Linked DNA regions of Drosophila melanogaster. The protein of the gene in region 2 purifies or fractionates together with the protein of the main gene of each other region. This does not show direct contact. Each region holds a gene or a part of one and is shown on either strand. Other genes may lie near its edges. The genes, in order: Arglu1 and CG5646.

The links.
Region 1: the proteins of CG5646 (region 2) and Arglu1 purify together in Drosophila melanogaster (affinity purification with mass spectrometry, with the first as the bait; one large-scale study listed by BioGRID). This does not show direct contact.

The regions. Positions count from the first base shown.
Region 1 is NT_033779.5:9,934,098-9,940,153, forward strand, and holds Arglu1 (arginine and glutamate rich 1), read right to left. Parts: upstream 4,038-6,056; 5' UTR 3,909-4,037; coding exon 3,561-3,908; exon of another isoform or gene 3,414-3,560; coding exon 3,141-3,413; coding exon of another isoform or gene 2,907-3,140; exon of another isoform or gene 1,473-2,906; coding exon 1,389-1,472; intron 1,327-1,388; coding exon 1,159-1,326; 3' UTR 670-1,158; downstream 1-669. Other genes in the region: CG4619 (uncharacterized protein), read left to right, coding at 4,867-6,056. UniProt on the Drosophila melanogaster protein: Post-transcriptional regulator of gene expression; modulates splicing and premature cleavage at cryptic polyadenylation sites of its own pre-mRNA through binding and regulation of the U1-snRNP complex.
Region 2 is NT_033777.3:27,558,703-27,563,283, forward strand, and holds CG5646 (uncharacterized protein), read right to left. Parts: upstream 2,618-4,581; 5' UTR 2,519-2,617; coding exon 2,473-2,518; intron 2,269-2,472; exon of another isoform or gene 2,226-2,268; intron 2,174-2,225; coding exon 2,061-2,173; intron 1,813-2,060; coding exon 1,572-1,812; intron 1,513-1,571; coding exon 1,398-1,512; intron 1,336-1,397; coding exon 939-1,335; 3' UTR 677-938; downstream 1-676.

The DNA.
Region 1 (6,056 bases), on a different chromosome or scaffold from region 2:
ATCTCGATCTGGATGTGGGTCTGGGCTGGTCAGGTGGCGGTGCCGTTGCCTTCGCCTTTCACGCTACAAAGGCTCGCTAGCGAACACGTTGCCAAATTCGATATGAAGTAATAAGCTGGTCAAGTCGAGGTGGGGGTCAGGTGGAGTTTCGTTGGAGCGGAGTACCTTGGTGCGTATGCATAACAGGCATATCTTGCGCCACATTCGCTTAGAACCACATTACGACTCTGAGTGAAGTCGCCTACCAATTCGGCATCCCCGCCTCCTGCGCACGCACGCACTTGGACAGATCGGACACCGCCGCCTCTCCACCTGATCGCAGCCTCCAGTTCCATGCTACGCGCGGGCGTGCCGGCTGTCGCCCGCTGTCCAGCGTCGCCCAACCCAATCAGCAACAAGAGACATATAAATTGAAGTAGTCTCTATAAATAATAAGTTGTGTCTACTTAGCGACATGTACACTGGCTTAGATCGTGTCCGATACCAAAGGGGATCGGGGGATTCGGTGGAGGATGGAGGAGCTGAAAAGCGCACGTATGTTTTGGCAAAACTGTCAAATTTACTAAGCGAATGGTGCTTAATTCGCTCGCTAATGCACTTGTAGCTCTTGCATTGCAAATCTGAAACACTTAAGCTTATACAGATTATATATAATAATATTCAACTTTTGGCATTTCTAAAGTTTTTTATTATCGATTTCAGCTGATTTCTATGTTTTCTTGAAATATCAAAAAATTGCAAATAGATTACATATGTATTTCACTGACATCTTTTTGGTTTTCTTTTTTTTTTTTTCTTCTTTTTTGTTAATCGTTCAGCTGTGACAACAATACGACGCACTACACATAATCATTTGTCTCACATATGAATTCTTTATGTAGAAAAGGTTAAGTAAATCGCTAGCGTATTGTACTATATAGAGCCGTATGTGTTCAGTAATTGGCAATTTTGAAAACGTTGAATCTATTGGCTGTGCTTTGCCTGCTCTCAGCACCACAGCTCGTCCTTAAAATAATAAAAATAATATAGAACACAATTACAACAATGAAAACGAGTGCATGGTCTGTGTCGCAGGCAAATAGCCACTGAGGTAAAAAAAAAAGCAAAAGCTGTTAACAAGAAAAGGTGCGACGGTCACCAGACTGATGCCTACGCTCCTCATAATGCGCCCGGTTTCAGGGAGAACGATAGCTTGGGCCTGGAATTGTTTTTGCCTAATATGACCTTCTGCTCTTCCTTGACGCGCTTCTCCTGCTCCTTGCGCATGCGTTGCCGCTCCTCGTCCATAAGGCGCTGCTCCTCGATTATTGCTAACCGTTCTTCGGCCTAAAGAAAAAAGAAATCAATTATGATCATAATAATATGGTTTGTTTGCTATGAATTCTTACCAGTTTTCTTTGCGCCTCTTCGATTTTGCGATTGTTTTCGGCCAAAATTTCTTCGAGCTCTTCGCGTTTTTGTTTTTCATCCTCCTATAAAACCCAAACAAGAAGACGATTAATAACAAAAATCGATCCTTTAGCGAGAAGCTTAATGCTAATTATAGAAATAAACAGTCTCTTGACATCAGCGATGCAAACTGTGCGACGAATTCGACGCACGTTTGTGGTTGCAGTTTTTTGCTTGATGAGCTGCAAAGGCAGTTAAAATCTAGTTTTATGTTTAACAATAAGTTACAAAGAATATTTTCGGTAGAAAGTAAAACATTTAGTAGTGTCTAATAAGAATGTTTAAAGTAGGTTGTTCTTTTAGTTTATTACAATAAAGGAGCACACAACATAAACAAATGTACTAGTATTTGCTAAATGGTTGGTCTTCATTTGGTTTTTTTTTTTTTTTATTGTTGCTACTTACTATTTAAATAGGTCATTATTCCAGTAAATAGGCTAAATTTGTGTTAATTTATGGTTTTCTTTTTTTTTTTTTTTGCAGATTTTCGATTTGGGATTATTTTTGTGGAGTTTTTCGCTATTCCAGACGTACATATGTAATTTGCTCGCAAAAACAAAAAGCTTAAACACAAATAAGTGGCAATCCAATGCGTATCCGGTTTCAAAAATTCTTACAGACAGAGTTCTATAGAGCTAAACCCTGGGGGGAGTCTTTGAGTCTTTGGGTCTGTGCGCCGTCCTTTCTCGCCTGTTATCCTTACGGCTGCTGGGCAACATCACACATCGCTGGCGTAGGAAACTCACCCGTTATCAAAAGTGGCAGTGATTTGATTTGCATGCAGCGTACTGTTGGGACTAAACTCAGTCGGCCCGCCCACAACTAGAGTGCCTAACTACCCGGACTAACTTAGGGACACCATACCACTTCGCTGGGCTTTGGTATTTCTTTGATTCTTTTGATATTTATTGTTTGGTGTGGAGGAAATGCGTCCGTGGACCAATCGCTCGGCAGCAGGCTTGCTCAACTTCCGGCATGGCGGCACAACGTGGAGTGCACGCGAGTGTTTTGCGGGTAAGGATCACAAAACAGCCACACACACCCACTTGCATACGGGACAAGAGCAGCACGTTCGTTGCACGGGCCTACTGAAGCGGAATTTGCGCGCAATAACAACAACAACGAGTTACGAGAACCAATACCAAAAAAATTAAAATGATACAGTATGTGGGTAGGAACGAACAAAAGATGAAGCTAAGAGTATGCAATAAGTCTGCAATAATGGGCATCAAAACTTTGACACATGCGACACTTGGCAATGTCGTCATTTTGGCTTTTTTGGTAGGAAAAATAAAAAGTTACAAAATTATTGGCAAGAAGAAAAAAAGGGGCAAAACGAGCCGTGGCGTTCTCATCTCGGCTCACAGCATTTAGCTTGCTGCATCATGTGGGGAGGGCTCTGAAAAGTTGCGACTGGTTAGTGATGTACCCGGTTAGTGGGCGCCCTTGGCCCAGGGTTATGCAAGCAATCTAGTACGGGGAGGCTGCTGATGGGACATGGGTTGATGGATGAACAGCCAGTGAGCCGCGACTGAGAGCGCCGCCGGATCGATTTCGCGTGACGTGGTGGAGACGACTGTTTGAACTGCTGTTTTGGATTTATTCAAGTGTACGGTAAATGTGGCATTGTGTACGTGTTTCTGACAGTGATAGCAGCAGTCGTCCAGCGGAATCTGAATACGAGCACCTACCTCGCGCCGGCGTTCTTCTTCGCGTATCTGCTCTCGCCGCCGCTCCAGCTCCAGCATCATTTCGCGCTCCATCTCAGCCTTGGCGGTCTCAACGCGTCGATTGACCTCCTGTTCGATTTCGTCGCGACGCTTTTCTAGCTCCTCCTCGACGCGCTTTTTTACCAGCATCTCTATGCGCTTGGCGGCTTCCTCTTCGATTGTCTTTTGCTCGAGCTCCTTCGCCCGACGCTGCCGCTCCATCTCGGCCAGGCGTTCGACCTGCATCTGGTTTTGCTGTAATGGTAGATCATAGTTTAGTTGCTTTCATCGAAACAGTTGTATCATAAGCGCAGCATGAGTGTCCATCCCGGAAAAATGCGTGTATGGAATGCGTACCCATGGAGTGCTCAAGATGACAGACTATGGACACTATCCACTTACCTCATCCAGCTTCTTAAAGCGGCTGCGCTTCTGTTTGCTACGTTGCGACTCCTGCTCGGAGTACTGACTGTCGCTGCTCGACGAGCTGGAGCGTTTTCGGGATTTCAGGATCGAGGGGGAGTGACGGTAGTCGCGCTCAGTGTGTCGGTCGCTGCGGTGTCTATCCCGCTCGCGGTCCCTGTCCCGTTCGCGATGTCGTCCATGGTTGTTCACCTCCGAGGACTTGTCTCTATCCGTTCTTGTGCTGGGCCGCTCGTGGTCGTGGTGGGACTTACTGCGTTTTTTGTGCTTGCTCTTATGGTGGCGTCGCTTGCCCGACGGACTGGGTGTACGTGAACGGGAGCCCATGGTGCTGGATTGTGTGATTGTATAAGATTTCGAGCTAGTCGAAGGGCTTAACTTGGCTGCCACAACAAATCAATGAGAGCGAATTTAATTTCTCGAGCAATTTTCACAGATGCCTTAAAACAGTGTGCACAACGTTGGCATACTGGCCTGACATAATTCTGGTATTTTTTTTGATACGGTATTTTCTGTGCTTTTTTTATTTTAATTTCTGTGTTGCCCAACATTAGACCGGCAATTGTTTTCAGTTCACATTGGTTTGTTTTGATCTAAAATCATTTGGTGGAACTTGTCGATCATGACTTGGTTATCCTTAAAGCCGACGCACTGCTTGGCCTCCTCCTTGGGCAGCCACTTGAGGTCGGTGTGCTCCTCGGAGAGAATGGGCTCCTGGCAGGGATTCCGCAGCTCCGCTAGCCAGTAAATAACAATCTTCGGCTTGTCTTGCACCTGATAATTCAGGGTCAGCGGAGTGTCCTTGTATATGATCAGATCCTTCTCGTCGTACCTATGAGAGCATTTTTGAAATTAAGCATGTTTTAAAAGATATATCGTTGTGCACTTTCCCGGCTTCCTCTTTCGTTTCTCGCAGGGCAGTGGTAAAATCATCCTCGCCTGGGTCCACATGTCCCTTGGGAGAACTCCAGTGGAAGGAGCCGTAGGAAGCCTTCAGCAATAGGTATTGTATTTCCCCACAAAGGCGGCGAAAAATAACAAAACCAGCTGCCTTTTCCATGTTGTTGCTATCAATTAACCGAAACAGGTGTTTGAACAGTGCTCGAAAGTCTCCAATAACAGTGGTGCTTTTCTAGCTGTTTCCCTCTTTTGCTTATTAGTAGTTCACTTCGTGTGAGAGGAAATTAGTCAGTGTTGAAAAGCGAATGCAGATTTAACGTATGCTTGCGGACTTGCACGTTGTTTTGTAAATTCATTACATAAATTGAGAAGAAGTGCATCCGATATGTACGCCCTGCTTCGCCGCTTTGCCGGCGTCACCAACTTGGGATGTCCCATCAGAACCTACGCCTCCCTTACGCCCAGAGATGTATTGCGGAGCAGCGATGAGACCGGCACACTGCTGACCCGCTTCGCCAAGCACATTGCACTGGAGCGCTACAGGGATTCGGATCACGTGTTGCCCAAGACGACGGTCCGGTACTCTGACTTCTTTCCCATCACGGACGACCGGTACTTTCAGCGGACGGTAGAGAAAACGGATGCAGCCCAATTGCCCGCCCTGATCATCCAGGCATCCAGCTATCGCTCCAATGCCGCTGTACCCATGTATGTGACTGCGCTTAACACGTTGGATAACCATGCGGCTAAACAGCTGGACAAGATGGATACCGCCACAGTGCTCGAGACGCTCTACTCCTTTCTATTCCTCATACCAAGTTGGATAAAGCGATTGGATTTTTACCAAGCAGCCATGCAACGACTGGTCAGGGAGGATTTTCGCGGCAACAAGGAGCGATTCGTTCAGGTGTGCTTCTATATGGGATTGCAAAAGAAGCAGGCCAAATCTTCTGAGGAATTCCAGCAACTCCTGGAAGAGCATCTACAAACGCATTTGCCTGAACTAAATGAAATGGACCTTGCCGTGGTCAGCAATGCGGCGTACAAAACCTCAACTTTGGTAACCGGTGAGGCGAAAACGGCATACGAAGCAAGACTCGTTAATGCCATATTAAATCTGGAGATAAACACCGGAAGCGATGCCTTGCTGGTCTCCTTTGTCAAGGCATTGCGTCTGCAGCAAGTCAAAGATGAACGAGTGTGCCAGCACCTGCAAGATATCTGTCTGGATCCTGTAAAGATAACCCATATTGAACCCCGAGGACTTGCCCATATCTTTGCATTCTTTGCCGAGCAGCTTTGGGATCAGAATGAATGCCTAACTGTCGTCGTAAAACGACTCATGACTCTTCTCAAGCCTGGAGACCTGCGCTCCAAAGACTTGGCCACATTCCTGTGGGCCAGCGCTCAACTCAATTGTGCATTGACTCCTGAGGAAATCAGACAATTGGAACTGACCGCCCTGCGCAAGCTGGATCATGGGGAGTACGAATATTTCCCTGACAACCTTGTTGACACCTGCCTCTCTCTGTGCACTTTGGGTCACTACTCTAAGGATCTGATTAATGCAGCTGA
Region 2 (4,581 bases):
TTGGTCTTTCTGCTTTCCGTTTGCTCTGCTTTTCAGTTTGTTTTTCTCTTCGTCTTCTTGTACACCGTTATTTCGATTGCGAGCCTCCCGTTCGCAAAATCAGCGAACTTTGCGAACTTTTCGCGGCTCCACAAACAACTGCACATACTACCACTAATAAAATTAAGATTAAATTGTGCGCAATTCGACATTAATTCACTTGCACAATTTTTCCTGCCATTTTTTTCGGCGGCTGCTCATTGCAACTCGCTGCGTTTTTGCGCTGACCATATGTGTCTGCCCATATATTCACTGGACATGGGTCATTAAGTGCAGCACGATGAAAATAAGAAAAATAGCACGCTGTATGTACACTTTGTTACTTCGATTTGCGTTTATCTCTGTTTTTTAACGAACGCGACGCGATGTTGTGTTGTTGTTCATCGTTCGACTCGGTGTGACCGTTCGCAGAACAGTGCTAATAAACTGCGGAGTTACACACTCGCCTTCTGGCAGTGCGGTCACACCAATTCGATGTTTTCAACATTCATAGAAATGGTTGATAACACGGATAGCGCATACTCAAACCGATTTGAATGTTTTCTAAATTCAAAAACTTGTTCCTATTGTTCAAACCAAAGATTTTTAAAAAAATTAGATCTAACTTTAGAGGCAGATCTCAAATACTCAGCAATATAACCTTGTTCATGGACGCAATTTGTCATCATTTTAATTTTAAAGCTTACAAAATTGAGGTGCATTTCGAAAATATTAAGCCCGTGTTGATACGATAAAACGTTTACAAAGTGAGGCAATTAAAGCTATTTGTTAGTGCTGTTAAACAGCATTGAAGTAAATTATAGAATAGGTTTGCATTTTTCGATCACACTCATTCTCAGTTGACAACAATGTACACAGCATACAAACTAAGGCTCCTAATCTCCACCAGACTGCCTGGGTCATACGTAGGTGCCGTTCCACCGCTGACACCACTCCAGCGCATACTCGTAGCCCAGGAAAGTGGCGGCATTGAAGGGAACCGCCCGCGCCACCAGCATCCAGCTGCCGCGGAAGATGCTCCTCCAGCCGTAGGCTCTGTACTGCACCCGCACGCAATGGAAGATGCCCCGGTACTTGTGATTCTCATCCGCCTGCATCAGCGTCTTGACCACGTCGAACGGAATGACACACACCCACGAGATGACTCCCGCCCAGGCGCCGGCCAGCGTGGTCACCAGCAGGTTCACACTGGATCCGTCCGACTGACTGCGTCGCCGGCGCACAAAGTCCCGCCTGTCCATGTAGTCAACGCCCTGGCGATAGGCCAGCATATAGATTCCATAGGGCAGGACGTCGCTGTAACCAAACGACCATTGAAAGATTCATGTATTTTTGGACTACCACCTGGACTAACTTACCGGCACATCATGGGCAAAAGGCCGCGATAGAGCCCCGAGATGCCATCAGTCTTGAGTATCCTTTTGAACGTGCCAAAGGCGGTCCTTCTCTGGCCATACAGATAGTCACTGTAATCTACGGAATTTCACAAATTAATCCTCCATTTTGGGATTAAAAAATCAAGTAGAACCCACAAGTGGCTGTCTGCAGGCGAACCTTGATCAGCTCCATGGGACAGGCGATGAAGGACTGCACGAATCCCGCCACAGAGCCCGCCAGGAACATGTTGTGGTACTCCAGCTGCTCCCGCTGGTAGTCACTGTGGCACACCTTTCTCAGCTGCCGCAGATGGTTTCCATAGATGCCGAAAAGCAGCGAGTTGATCGCTCCCGTCGAGATGAACGGGAAGAACATGCCCCTGTAGAAGCCGTTGACCTTTGAGGCGATGCTGATCGATTAAACCCATCACGACCCACCTAGGCGCTCTAAGGGATTGCGTCCAGTCGGAGTCGGGATTAAGAATAGGACAAAGCCATTTTGGCTGGTTTAAATATTTGAAAAGTTATGAATAAAAAAGGAGATTGGAAGATCGACATGTACATCGTTATCCAAATATTTCACATAAAATTTGTATCCTTGAAAAAAAGTTTCCAACTAGACGCAATCCTTCTTTCCAAACTTACCCCATTATTTCTGCTGTAGATCTGTTGAATGGCTGTCACAACGGATGAATTTGAGGCCTGTTGCCAAACTTTGATCGTGTCGAGTGGGTGGGCCACCAGCACCCCGCAGGCACCTGAATATCAGAGTATAAAAATCAAGAATGCAGCATAAATTAATTAAAATTGTGGCCACAAAGTTAAACAACACATGTTGAACGGCCGCCGCCGCCGACAGCCGCTTGCCAAGAATCCGATGGATCAGGGGCGCCGCACGTGAACTTGACCATGGCGCCCGTTTTCCGCCGGGACTGAGGCAGTTCCCCTCAACAAGTGGCCTATCGCCACACGGCTGCTGCATTGCGTCATGCATGGCCCAGAGTTCTGACCAAATTGGGATGAATACCAGCTGGAGCTCTGCCGCTCCGTCACTCACCACCAAAGCATCCGGCCACAAAGTCGCAGTAGTTCTCCCACTTCATGGATGCGGATTTTCAGCGAACGCTTGGAGTTTTCGGAAAATTGATTTTTCTCGCGATTTTCCAACTGCACCTCACGACGGCAGCGAACCAACTGCAGTGCACAGCTTTTGTGGCTCGGCAGCAAAGCTCTGCGATTTCGCCAGCTTTCCCAGCGAACAGAAGCTGATTGCTAAAAAATAGGCAAACCGAATGCTCACTTTTCAAAAAAAGATACTTTCTAACGAAAAAGTAACTCTGCTAAGCATAATGATATCTTGTGGGTATACAGCTCAAAACTATTCAGTTCTAAACTTAAAATTTTCAAACCAAACTTTCTAGAATTTTTCCTACGCATAGGAAAAAGAAGTGTAGAAAGTTTCTTAGCTTTTCACTTCAAGTTCAAAGGAATATAAATCCTTTAATTTTAAAAATACTATTTTGAATCCTATCTAAAATCAAACACGTTGTGTTAATTATTTTGTATTTATTAATTTTTTATTGTTGATTGATCTCTTTGCTTCTTTTCTCTCCGTTTGCTCATCATTCTCATTCATTCAGTTTTTGTGTGTTTTTTTTTTGTTTCATCTTTTACTTGGTTTTTAATCATTTTTGGTTAATTCTGCTTGCAGCTAAATATTTGTTTTTGCCTGCGCCATGCAATTTTAATTATTTTTTTTTCTGCTGCTTCTCGCCATTAGTTAGTTAATTTACTTTATTTTCGCATACTTTCTGCCTGGATTCGAAAGCAATCAACTAAACCTCTTTTTTCCGATGCTTCTCCATATATAATTTTCCTTTTTTATATATATATGCTGTTTATATATACCTATATATATATATATTTATTCCCATTTATGTTTGTGTAATTATAATTTACTCTTTATATTTACTCTCAGCATAAGATTTTGTTTAGTCGTGTGTGTGTGTGTGAGTGAGTAAGTGTGTGTGCGATTGTGGGTGGTGTGGGTGCTGTGTGCCTTTAACCAAAGGAAAAAAGAATCGAAATCCTGGCACACCGGCCTACACAGAACTAGAACTCAAAGTTTAAAAAACGTAATAATATAGCGTGTGTACGATAGGTTTTTTTTTTTACAAGTCTAGAACATAAGAAAATACATGATTTACATATATATTTATCCGTTCGCATTTCATTGTTAGTATCCATAGTTTTTAAATTGTTTAAGCGCTTTAACTATTTAGCTCTTATTGTTGCTGCCTTGGCTAGCTGATCCGTTGTTCGGCATTTTCATTTGTTAAGTGTTTTTTGTTTTTTTTTTTGAGTGTTTCTTCTGATCTCGGATGCAACGTTGTTAATGCGACTTTATTTGTAGTACACATCTTAGTTAGTACAGGGTTTTCTCTCTAAAAGTACTTAACGAGTTTTGCATTTGCTTAAACCTCTTCGCTCAGCTGGCTCTAAGCAGCTTCCGCAGTTACGAATTAACATGCTCCATTTGTTTATACATATAAATACAATAATAGAAACTATAGTTAAAGTTACCATTTTTTTTTTTTACTTTGAATGCGGACTAAACAGATTAACTCAGAGTGCAACAAAGGTGTTGATCACAAAACAAACGAAATGATGATGAAGAGGCAATAATCATTGAACCACTTATGACTTATACAATATGTTCTTTTTATCGTTTATTAGGCATTCTTTTTCAACATTTTTCATTAATCTTAATCTAATGCTTGTTGCTTACTTGATTTCTGGTTTCGTTTTTACACTTGCGTTATTTGAATATGTTCTTCTTTTTTGTTTTACTGATTGGCATCCTAGGCAAACATCAACTTTAACTAGAGATGGGTCCTATTCGTTTTTCGGATCTGCTAGTTAGGATCTGAGATTGGTGTTAGTTACTAGATGGGCATAACAAACAGGTCGAGTCGATAAGTGCTGCCTGTTCGAGTTTTAACATTTCTTCGTGTTTCATTATATTTGGTGTTCTTCTTGGAATCTTTTGAAAGGCAGTAGGACTTAACGCTCGGGGGCTATAGGATTCGATCTGATCGCTATTGTGGGCTAATGAGGGGAGGCAGGGAGGGATGATACTCGTGGGTAGTTTGTAGTAGCTCTAGTT